Linked DNA regions of Nothobranchius furzeri. Each later gene encodes a partner of the first gene's protein in a complex. Links are inferred from orthologs where the notes say so. Each region holds a gene or a part of one and is shown in the gene's direction. Other genes may lie near its edges.

Region 1 (4,281 bases):
CACGTAGGGTAGCGGGGGGGGCTGGTGCCTATTTCCAGTGGTCAATGGGCAATCAGGCGGGGTACACCCTGGACAGAGAGCCAGTCCATTATAGGGCAACACAGAGACACACAGGACAAACAATTATGCACACACACACACACACACACACACACACACACACACACACACACACACACACACACACACACACACACACACACACACACACACACACACACACACACACACACACACACCTAAGGACAATTTAGACAGACCAATTAACCCAACAGTCATGTTTTTGGACTGTGGGAGGAAGCCGGAGTACCTGGAGAGAACCCACGCATGCACAGGGAGAACATGCAACCTCAGTGCAGAAAGATCCCCCGCCGGGAAGCGAACCCAGGACCTTCTCGCTGCAATTCCCTTTCCATTTTTTTCAAAATTTAACACAGGACTGGAGCTGAACAGATGCTGCTTCTATAAAAAACACCCCGTAAAACAGTAACAGGACACAATGAGTGGTGTCATTTTATGACTAATTTCTACCTGCCATCAGTCAGTGGAGAGTGATGAAGGTTGAAGGGAGAGAAGCCAGAGCCAACAAGGGAAGAATTGTGTGAGGACACAAGACAGTGCAGTGTGGTTGTCAAGAAAACAATGTAGCAGTGAAAAGTGTTGGAGATGAGCCATTTGGTGGTTAAAATTAGCTGTTTTCAGCAGGATATGGTCAACACATAGGCATCTTTGTGTGCCAGTAACTGTTATTAAAGAGGACAAAGAGGGATGGTCATTTTAACCTTTTGCAAAAGTCACATGATTGAAAATGACTGGTTGTTTTCATTATAATACTGCAGGCCTGTGAGCGAGGAGTCGTGATGACGAATAATGTCAATATTTGCCCTTAAAGGGTTTCAGCTTCATGAAAAAGTTTTAGTAGACGTATCGGTGGTGCCTGGAAGAAAGTATGTTTTTCTTTCCAACAAACTTTATATACATCTGGAAAAGGTTAATGTTTTACCACATCAACACTGACCAAATCATGGGAATGCAAGTGTTACAGCCATGCATCATTTGGACAAATCTGTGAAGTAAAAAAAATAAATAAATCAACAAGCATTTTCAATCAGCTACACTGTACAGGAAATGTAACAAATATTACCAAAAGAATAAAAAAGGGGGAGTGAGACGCATATTCAATGTATTAATGTCTAGACTTATTGAAATACTTTGTAATGGACAGCACATGAAACTTGCATGCCCACACGCGTACACAAATCAATGTTATTAGCATTTCACTCTCATTAATTTGTTCACTTTAAATTTTACCAGTGACACATTTTCTAAGCTCATGTTGCATTCTGTAGAAGCAGGCACTGATATGTATATAAACATATTATTATTACTGTATACATTCTATGGAAGCAGCAGGTTCGTCTTTTTCTTCTTTTTTTTTTAAAGGATGCTGAGCTTGTCTCTGATTGGTCAGTATGCTTGTACGTAACTGCATCATTCAGCCACTTCCTCTTTCCCGTAGCAAACATGGCGGAGTACGACCTCACCACTAAGATTGCTCACTTTTTAGACCGTCATCTCGTTTTTCCACTTCTGGAGTTCCTGTCCGTCAAAGGGGTACGAAATATTTCAGCTTAAAACATTTCTTCACAAGCTGTTGGTATTTTTACGAAACAATATTTGCTTTTTAAACAGATTTATACGCTGAAGCACGTCGAGTCTGGCCACATTGTCTGTCCGTGTTCGAATGCTACACATTTTTAACCGGAAATAGAAACAGCTGAGTTAAAAATAAAAGCAGAGAGATGAGCATTTTTACTAACCCCTTGGAGAATATACAGTGCTGTTCAATGTTTCAATGCTTGAAGTAGTTTCTATATACATTGGTATATAAATGTTAACGCTTATTTAAAAAAATCCACGTGCGAATTCTTTAGTTTACTTTATTTTTGTTGTCAATACCGGAAGTTGTAGTTTCTTTTTGTAGCATTATAGCAAGCTAGATTTTACCAAGCTAACAGAAATGCGCGTTTCTCAACATAGACATTTGTTGTAATTGGTTATTTTTCGGTGGTTTTTCAAAACATAAACACAAATAGTCAACGATAAAGCACACCGAGAATAGTAACTTTTATCAACACACGTTTTCTAAATTTAAATATTTAAAGTGATCACATGTCGATAGTTCATTTTAATAGTTTGTTGGGAGTGTAGTTTGGAACATTTTAGCTTTCTGTTAAAAAGGTTCATCAAATTAGATGATTACTTTAATGCTGCTTTCTTCAGTGGTTCAATGTGATGAATTAGTGTCAACTTTAAAGAACGGTGCTCATATGAACATACAAGTTTAAGAAAAGGAGCAACAAAGGCTTTTTAAAAAAAGTATATTTTCTAGGAAATAACTTGCATTTTGTAACAATCGAATATAAGTTTATTTGCTTCATATTAAAGTCCTATTGTGTGATGATGTGTGTTTCAGATCTACAACGAGGATGAACTGCTTCATGGAAAACTGGACCTCCTCAGTGACACAAACATGGTGGACTTTGCCATGGATGTGTACAGAAACCTTTACCCTGAGAAGGAAATCCCTCATAGTAAGTGTTGATGCTTTTTGGACACACACTGCACATCCCCTTTTCTCCAGAGGTAGAGAACCCATCAGTATATTTTGTATATTTTTATTGATGTCATAAAGAGCTACTTGCTGGTCTTTCACTCCATTTGGAATTGATTAAGCAGTCAACTTATTTTACAATGTTTCCGGTATGAGAGGCTAGATCGTGTGCATGCTGGTTTATGATGCTGCTGTAGCTAAAATCTTCCTTCATCCTCTATCAGCGCTGAAGGAGAAGAGGACAGAGGTTGTAGCCCAGCTGAAGCAGCTTCAGTCTGAGACAGAACCGATAGTGAAGATGTTTGAGGATCCTGAGACAACCAGGCAGATGCAGTCCACCAGGTAAAGCCTCCTTTTTTTTTAGCTCATAAGCTACATCGTTTCCCTTTTATTTTAAACCTTTTTTTACATCGGACCTTAATTTTTGTGATTCCTAATTATTTTTCATCATCTTATTTAGCATCATTATTGCCATCATGTTTCTCCCTGTTCCTTAGATAAAACATAATGACAGCACGCTTTAATTATAATATGTAGCTTTTGCTTCATGGAGCTTCATGTATTGATTGAAGCATTCGATATATCTGCTGATGAAATTTGTTGGACTCACAAAAAGACTAAAAAACTCTGTTAAAGTTATGTTTTCTTTGGTTCAGGTAGCTGGATTAGATTCATTATTCATTTTAGTTCTTTCTCCGAGGATTTTCAGTTAATCAATTTTTTTTCCATTTCTGTGTTTCTGTCTGTTTAAAGGGAGAAAAAGTTTAAACCAAGTTGATATTTGGTCAAAATAGCCTTTTTTAGTTATTTCTTGCTGTCAGTCTTCAGTTAAAAAAAATGTACATTGTCTTTGACTAGCTGACAGCGTTGTTTCTTCATAAGGTGGTATTTTAAATACATAAAGAATGTCATCTTTGCTCCGTGAAGAGCTGTCTCCAAAGCCAATGGACATTATTGCAATTTGTTCTGCTATTATTGGCAACATTTTGTGGAACATGATTTTCTGTCGACTGGCACTCTGTCCTGGGTGTACCCCGCCTTTTTGCTCGTTGACTACTGGAGATATAGCCTGGCCTGCCAGACTCCTCCTCTGTTTAATTCTGCACAGAGAAAGGGTCTGGGAACTCTCCTATTCAAATAACCCCACCCCCTGAGAATTCTAACCGAGCCAATCAGCGCTGAGTAGCGTACGTCACACACCATAACGCTGAGTTTGTCATAAACATGGCGACTGAAGCGGAGTTCACTGCGGCTCTTTCCTCTGTTCTAAATGACTTGGACACGTCTTTAAAACCACAACAAGTAGAAGTGCTAAAAGCCTTTTAGGGCTGTTGCGGTAACCGCAAAAATGAAATATCGCAATATGAAGAAGCCCACCGCGCTGCATCATGGGCCACCGCGATTACTGAACTTGGTTCAACTCAATGATGCATGTTGAGAAGGATGGCTGCACTGGTATCAAAACGAAACGTTACTTCGCTCCTTTGGGAGCACTTTTGTTTTCAGTACGTCAGCTGCTGCGCAGCCAGAGTCCTTGGCCGACACAGAGCTGCCACCAGCGGCAAAAAAATAATAATAAACGCTCTTGAGACCTGCTGAAGTCCCGGACAAGCACTGCTTCTGCAACCGTCCCGAAGAGAGTTTGAGCCGAGGAGCTCACTCGCTAC
Region 2 (4,138 bases), about 51 Mb from region 1:
CCCCGGTTCTCCAGCAGCTTCACTGGCTCCCAGTTAAATTCAGGTCCATCTTCAAAATTCTCCTTCATACCTTCAAAGCAATCCACAACCTCTCTCCTCCATATATCTCAGACCTTATAAGTATTCACACCCCGTCCCGTTCACTCAGATCTTCTTCTTCCATCCATCTTGCGGTTCCTTCTGCCCGTCTCGCTACCACGGGGAGCAGAGCTTTCAGCCGCTCTGCTCCTCGACTCTGGAACTCACTTCCCCCAGACATCAGGAACGTCGACAGTTTTACCCTTTTCAAAACAAAACTCAAAACACACATGTTTAAATCTGCCTAAAACCTCTGATTTTATTGAAATGTTTCTCTCTGTTGTTTCTTCTTTGGGTTTTATTATTGTTTTATTGTATTTTATTACGTGTTTTGTGTAAAGTGACCTTGGGTGTCCTGAAAGGCGCTTTGAAATAAAATGTATTATTATTATTATCATTATAAATCGTCTTTATTTGTATAGCGCCTTCTTAGGGTTCTACAACCCCCCCAAGGTGCTTCACAACACAGTCATTCACATATTATTGCTATTTTTTAAAGACAACATAAGAACCTCTAGTTTTATATGAAATTAATTCTGCACACGTTTTGTCTGCACCTGCTACTGCTGACAGTTTTTCTTTCCTGCAGCGTTGGAACAAATCCTGATGTAATGACGGTTTTCTTATGTTGATATGACCTATCAGGAAAAACAAACATCTTGTATTTATTATTATTATTGTTGTTGTTGTTGTTGTTGTTATTATTATTTCATAACTATAATTGCTATGACCCAAAATCTATGCTGGAATAGTGATTGAGCACTTTTGTAAAAGTTCCAGTACTTTTATTGCTCCACTGAAAACCAGATTGAAGTTTCATTTCATTTGTTATTTTTTTCTCATTCTGCAATTTCCTTCATCACTAATTCACAACACACTCATCAAGTACAATGTTCCAAGTGAAAAAAGAGAGACAGCAGGGAGGAGGAAGAAGTTAATGTTTTCTATAATATGTGCATTTTTTCTTTGCTTGTAATGAAATAAAAACGATCTAATATTGCCACTGGGGTGATTTGTAAACTCATCATACTTCTTTTGACTTTTGAGAAATTTGACAACAAATGTGTAAATCTGATGCTCCTAATATTTTTAAGCACAAATACGAATTAAGTTACCACAGAATTCACATTAAGAATCCACATGAGAAGTTATTTTCATAACAATAACAACGAATTTTTATTATGCAATTTTACGATTTTGTCAACAATTTTTGTCAGCACCAAAAATAAGCTCTTATTTTGAAAAAGTCTGACGAGTTGTGCCTTTATTGCGAAGTTTTAACCTCCGGAAGTGCGGTGCTCGGTTCGCGCTGGTTCTTCCGAAGCTAGGCTAGCCGAGAGGATGCCGTCGATTGAATACGACGAGTAAGAGTCTAAATGAAACGTAGGGTTTTTGTGTCTTTATTGAATGCGTGTAACCGTTGTAATAACGAGTTTGTGTGATTCTATTCTAGCTCAAAGCCCAGCTGGGCTGACCAGGTGGAGGAGGAAGTAGATGAAGGTAAACAGCATTTTAGCTTCGCTAGCTAGCTCGGTGGCAAATGTGACCTAGAGGGTTGGATGCTTAAGATCCTAAAACCGTAGGTGATAATAACCCTTGATGAAAACAGCAGAGGCTTATTCACAAGTTTAACAATTTTTATTTATAGATACAACCCAGGTCGGGATAAAAAGTAGACTAAAAACTCTAAAACACGGGAGGGAGGAGCGACGACAATGCTGGCCCTGGGACTACACACGCAACGCCATCTATTTCTATTTAAAAGCACAAAGCCGCTGTAGGGACCCGAGACAAGAGACAATAATATAAAGAAAAACACTCAGTGCTCCCCTGACCCGGTTACACAAAGGAGGCCGGTGTTGCAGTTCCACGTGGTTGAACAGCATTAAAGACGAGCTAAAATATGCAAGTTTGTTAAATTTTATAAGAATCTGCCCTTAAATCAGTCATGGGTTGGCGTGACTGAGAGACGAACGGCTTAAGAAATTGCGTTATGATAATGAGGCAGTGGTCCCCTGACAGTGACGTAGGGGTGTAAAAACAGTCAAGATAATGATGCTGACGGAAACTAGACTGATTAAATATTCATAAAACATTTAAAGTCGTCAACTGTTCCAGTTGATGTGAAAACGAAGATGTGACGTCACATCAGGAGCATCCTGATCCTGACAGTTCAGATCAGTCCCAGATAAACTCACATTTAGTTGAAAGTTATTAAAGTATCCCCGGATGTTAAGCTTATGGTTGTTTTTCGTGCATCTGCGAATGTTGTATACCTTTATCTTGATTATATTCTTACTTCCCATATTTGCTGTTTTCTTACTTTAATCGTTCTTTTTTGCACAAAGTGCCGCAGCAATTTCCTAATCTGATTTCTCGCACATATGTCACTAAAACCCTAATGATTCTGATCCCATAGGCACATTACCATCACCAAAGGAGACCATCAAAGGAAACATCAAAACAATCACTGAGTATAAGATAGATGATGATGGTAAAAAGTTCAAGGTACTTTGTTTATGTTGCATCAATAAATTTAAAAGGCAAATAATAAATGTCTCCTGAAATATTATAAGTGAAACATTTTGGTTCTCTAGATTGTGCGGACCTTCAAGATCGAGACGAGGAAAGCCTCAAAAGCTGTTGCCAGAAGAAAGGTCCGTGTTTTATTAAATCATATCAGTGCAGTTAATAAATGAACCGCCTTCTGATATTTACCACTCTCATTTCAGAACTGGAAGAAGTTCGGCAACTCTGAGTTTGACCCACCGGGTCCTAATGTTGCAACCACCACTGTCAGCGATGACGTCTTCATGACTTTCATCTCCAGCAAGGAGGTACAGGATATGTCCAAGTTGCTGTTTTCCTTCAGAACGCAAAAACGAACAAGAACATTCTTTAGGAAATGTTCTAATGGAGCATCGATAGTTCGCAGCAGGTTTAAAATGCTGCTTGCACTACTTTTTACAGCTTGCTTGGTGTTCACAATTACCACATTCAACAGCTCTAGATCTTCTCATTCTGTAATGTGACTCAGAATTTATGAAGTTCATGGCTGCAAATTTGTAATTTTTACTGTAATCAAGTTGTTTTATCAAAGTTGCTAATCTTGCTTTTTTTGCAGGACCTGAATGCCCAAGACCAAGATGAGGATCCAATGAACAAGCTCAAAGGGCAGAAGATTGTGTCTTGTCGTATTTGTAAAGGGGACCATTGGACGACCCGCTGCCCGTATAAGGACACGCTGGGCCCCATGCAGAAGGAGCTGGCTGAGCAGCTTGGGCTTTCCACTGGAGACAAGGAAAAGACTGCTGGTTCTGGTACCATTATCACCATTCTCATTACCACACTTGTCTGCTGCTGCTAGTTTCTAAAGGTGTGACAGTAATTGTGGCTTTTCCTAGCTGAGCCAGAGCCTGTTCAGCCTGCACAAAGCAAAACTGGAAAGTATGTCCCGCCGAGCCTGAGAGATGGAGGCACAAGAAGAGGGGAGTCTATGCAGCCTAACCGCAGAGGTCAGTTTGTGTTGGTATGGGTGCTACATTAGCAATATGTGGTCATTTTTAATCTGGTCATGCAGCGTTGAATAAACGTCTCAGTAAAACGAATCATTGCGTTTAACAGCTGATGACAACGCTACCATCCGTGTGACCAACCTGTCTGAGGACACTCGTGAGACAGACTTGCAGGAGCTTTTCAGACCGTTTGGTTCCATCTCAAGGATCTATCTGGCAAAGGACAAGAACACGGGACAGTCCAAGGTTAGTGCTCACCTTAGGGGTGACTGGGCTTTACAAGTGCTGGCCTTTCACAGTTTTTCTGCAACCTGCTGTTATCTACCATCTAGGATTTGAGATTGACGCTGAAAAAATCAAGAATCATCAGTCAGATTTTTTTTTATTGCTCTGCAGGGATTTGCCTTCATCAGTTTCCACCGTAGGGAGGATGCTGCCAGAGCCATAGCAGGAGTGTCAGGATTTGGATATGATCATCTTATTCTCAATGTTGAATGGGCCAAGTAAGTAAATTATCACTGTTGTCAGTAAAATGATCAGTGTTT

The links.
Region 2: eif3ea (region 1) and eif3g share a complex: the UniProt entries of both Homo sapiens proteins name them as parts of the eukaryotic translation initiation factor 3 (eIF-3) complex. The link is inferred for Nothobranchius furzeri from reciprocal best matches to the Homo sapiens genes EIF3E and EIF3G.

Annotation. Positions count from the first base shown.
Region 1 is NC_091745.1:54,014,676-54,018,956, forward strand, and holds the start of eif3ea (eukaryotic translation initiation factor 3 subunit E-A), read left to right. Parts: upstream 1-1,481; 5' UTR 1,482-1,524; coding exon 1,525-1,614; intron 1,615-2,476; coding exon 2,477-2,594; intron 2,595-2,838; coding exon 2,839-2,956; intron 2,957-4,281. UniProt on the Homo sapiens protein: Component of the eukaryotic translation initiation factor 3 (eIF-3) complex, which is required for several steps in the initiation of protein synthesis.
Region 2 is NC_091745.1:3,309,795-3,313,932, forward strand, and holds the start of eif3g (eukaryotic translation initiation factor 3 subunit G), read left to right. Parts: upstream 1-1,338; 5' UTR 1,339-1,419; coding exon 1,420-1,442; intron 1,443-1,531; coding exon 1,532-1,578; intron 1,579-2,497; coding exon 2,498-2,586; intron 2,587-2,675; coding exon 2,676-2,735; intron 2,736-2,810; coding exon 2,811-2,915; intron 2,916-3,202; coding exon 3,203-3,398; intron 3,399-3,482; coding exon 3,483-3,593; intron 3,594-3,702; coding exon 3,703-3,839; intron 3,840-3,989; coding exon 3,990-4,096; intron 4,097-4,138. UniProt on the Homo sapiens protein: RNA-binding component of the eukaryotic translation initiation factor 3 (eIF-3) complex, which is required for several steps in the initiation of protein synthesis.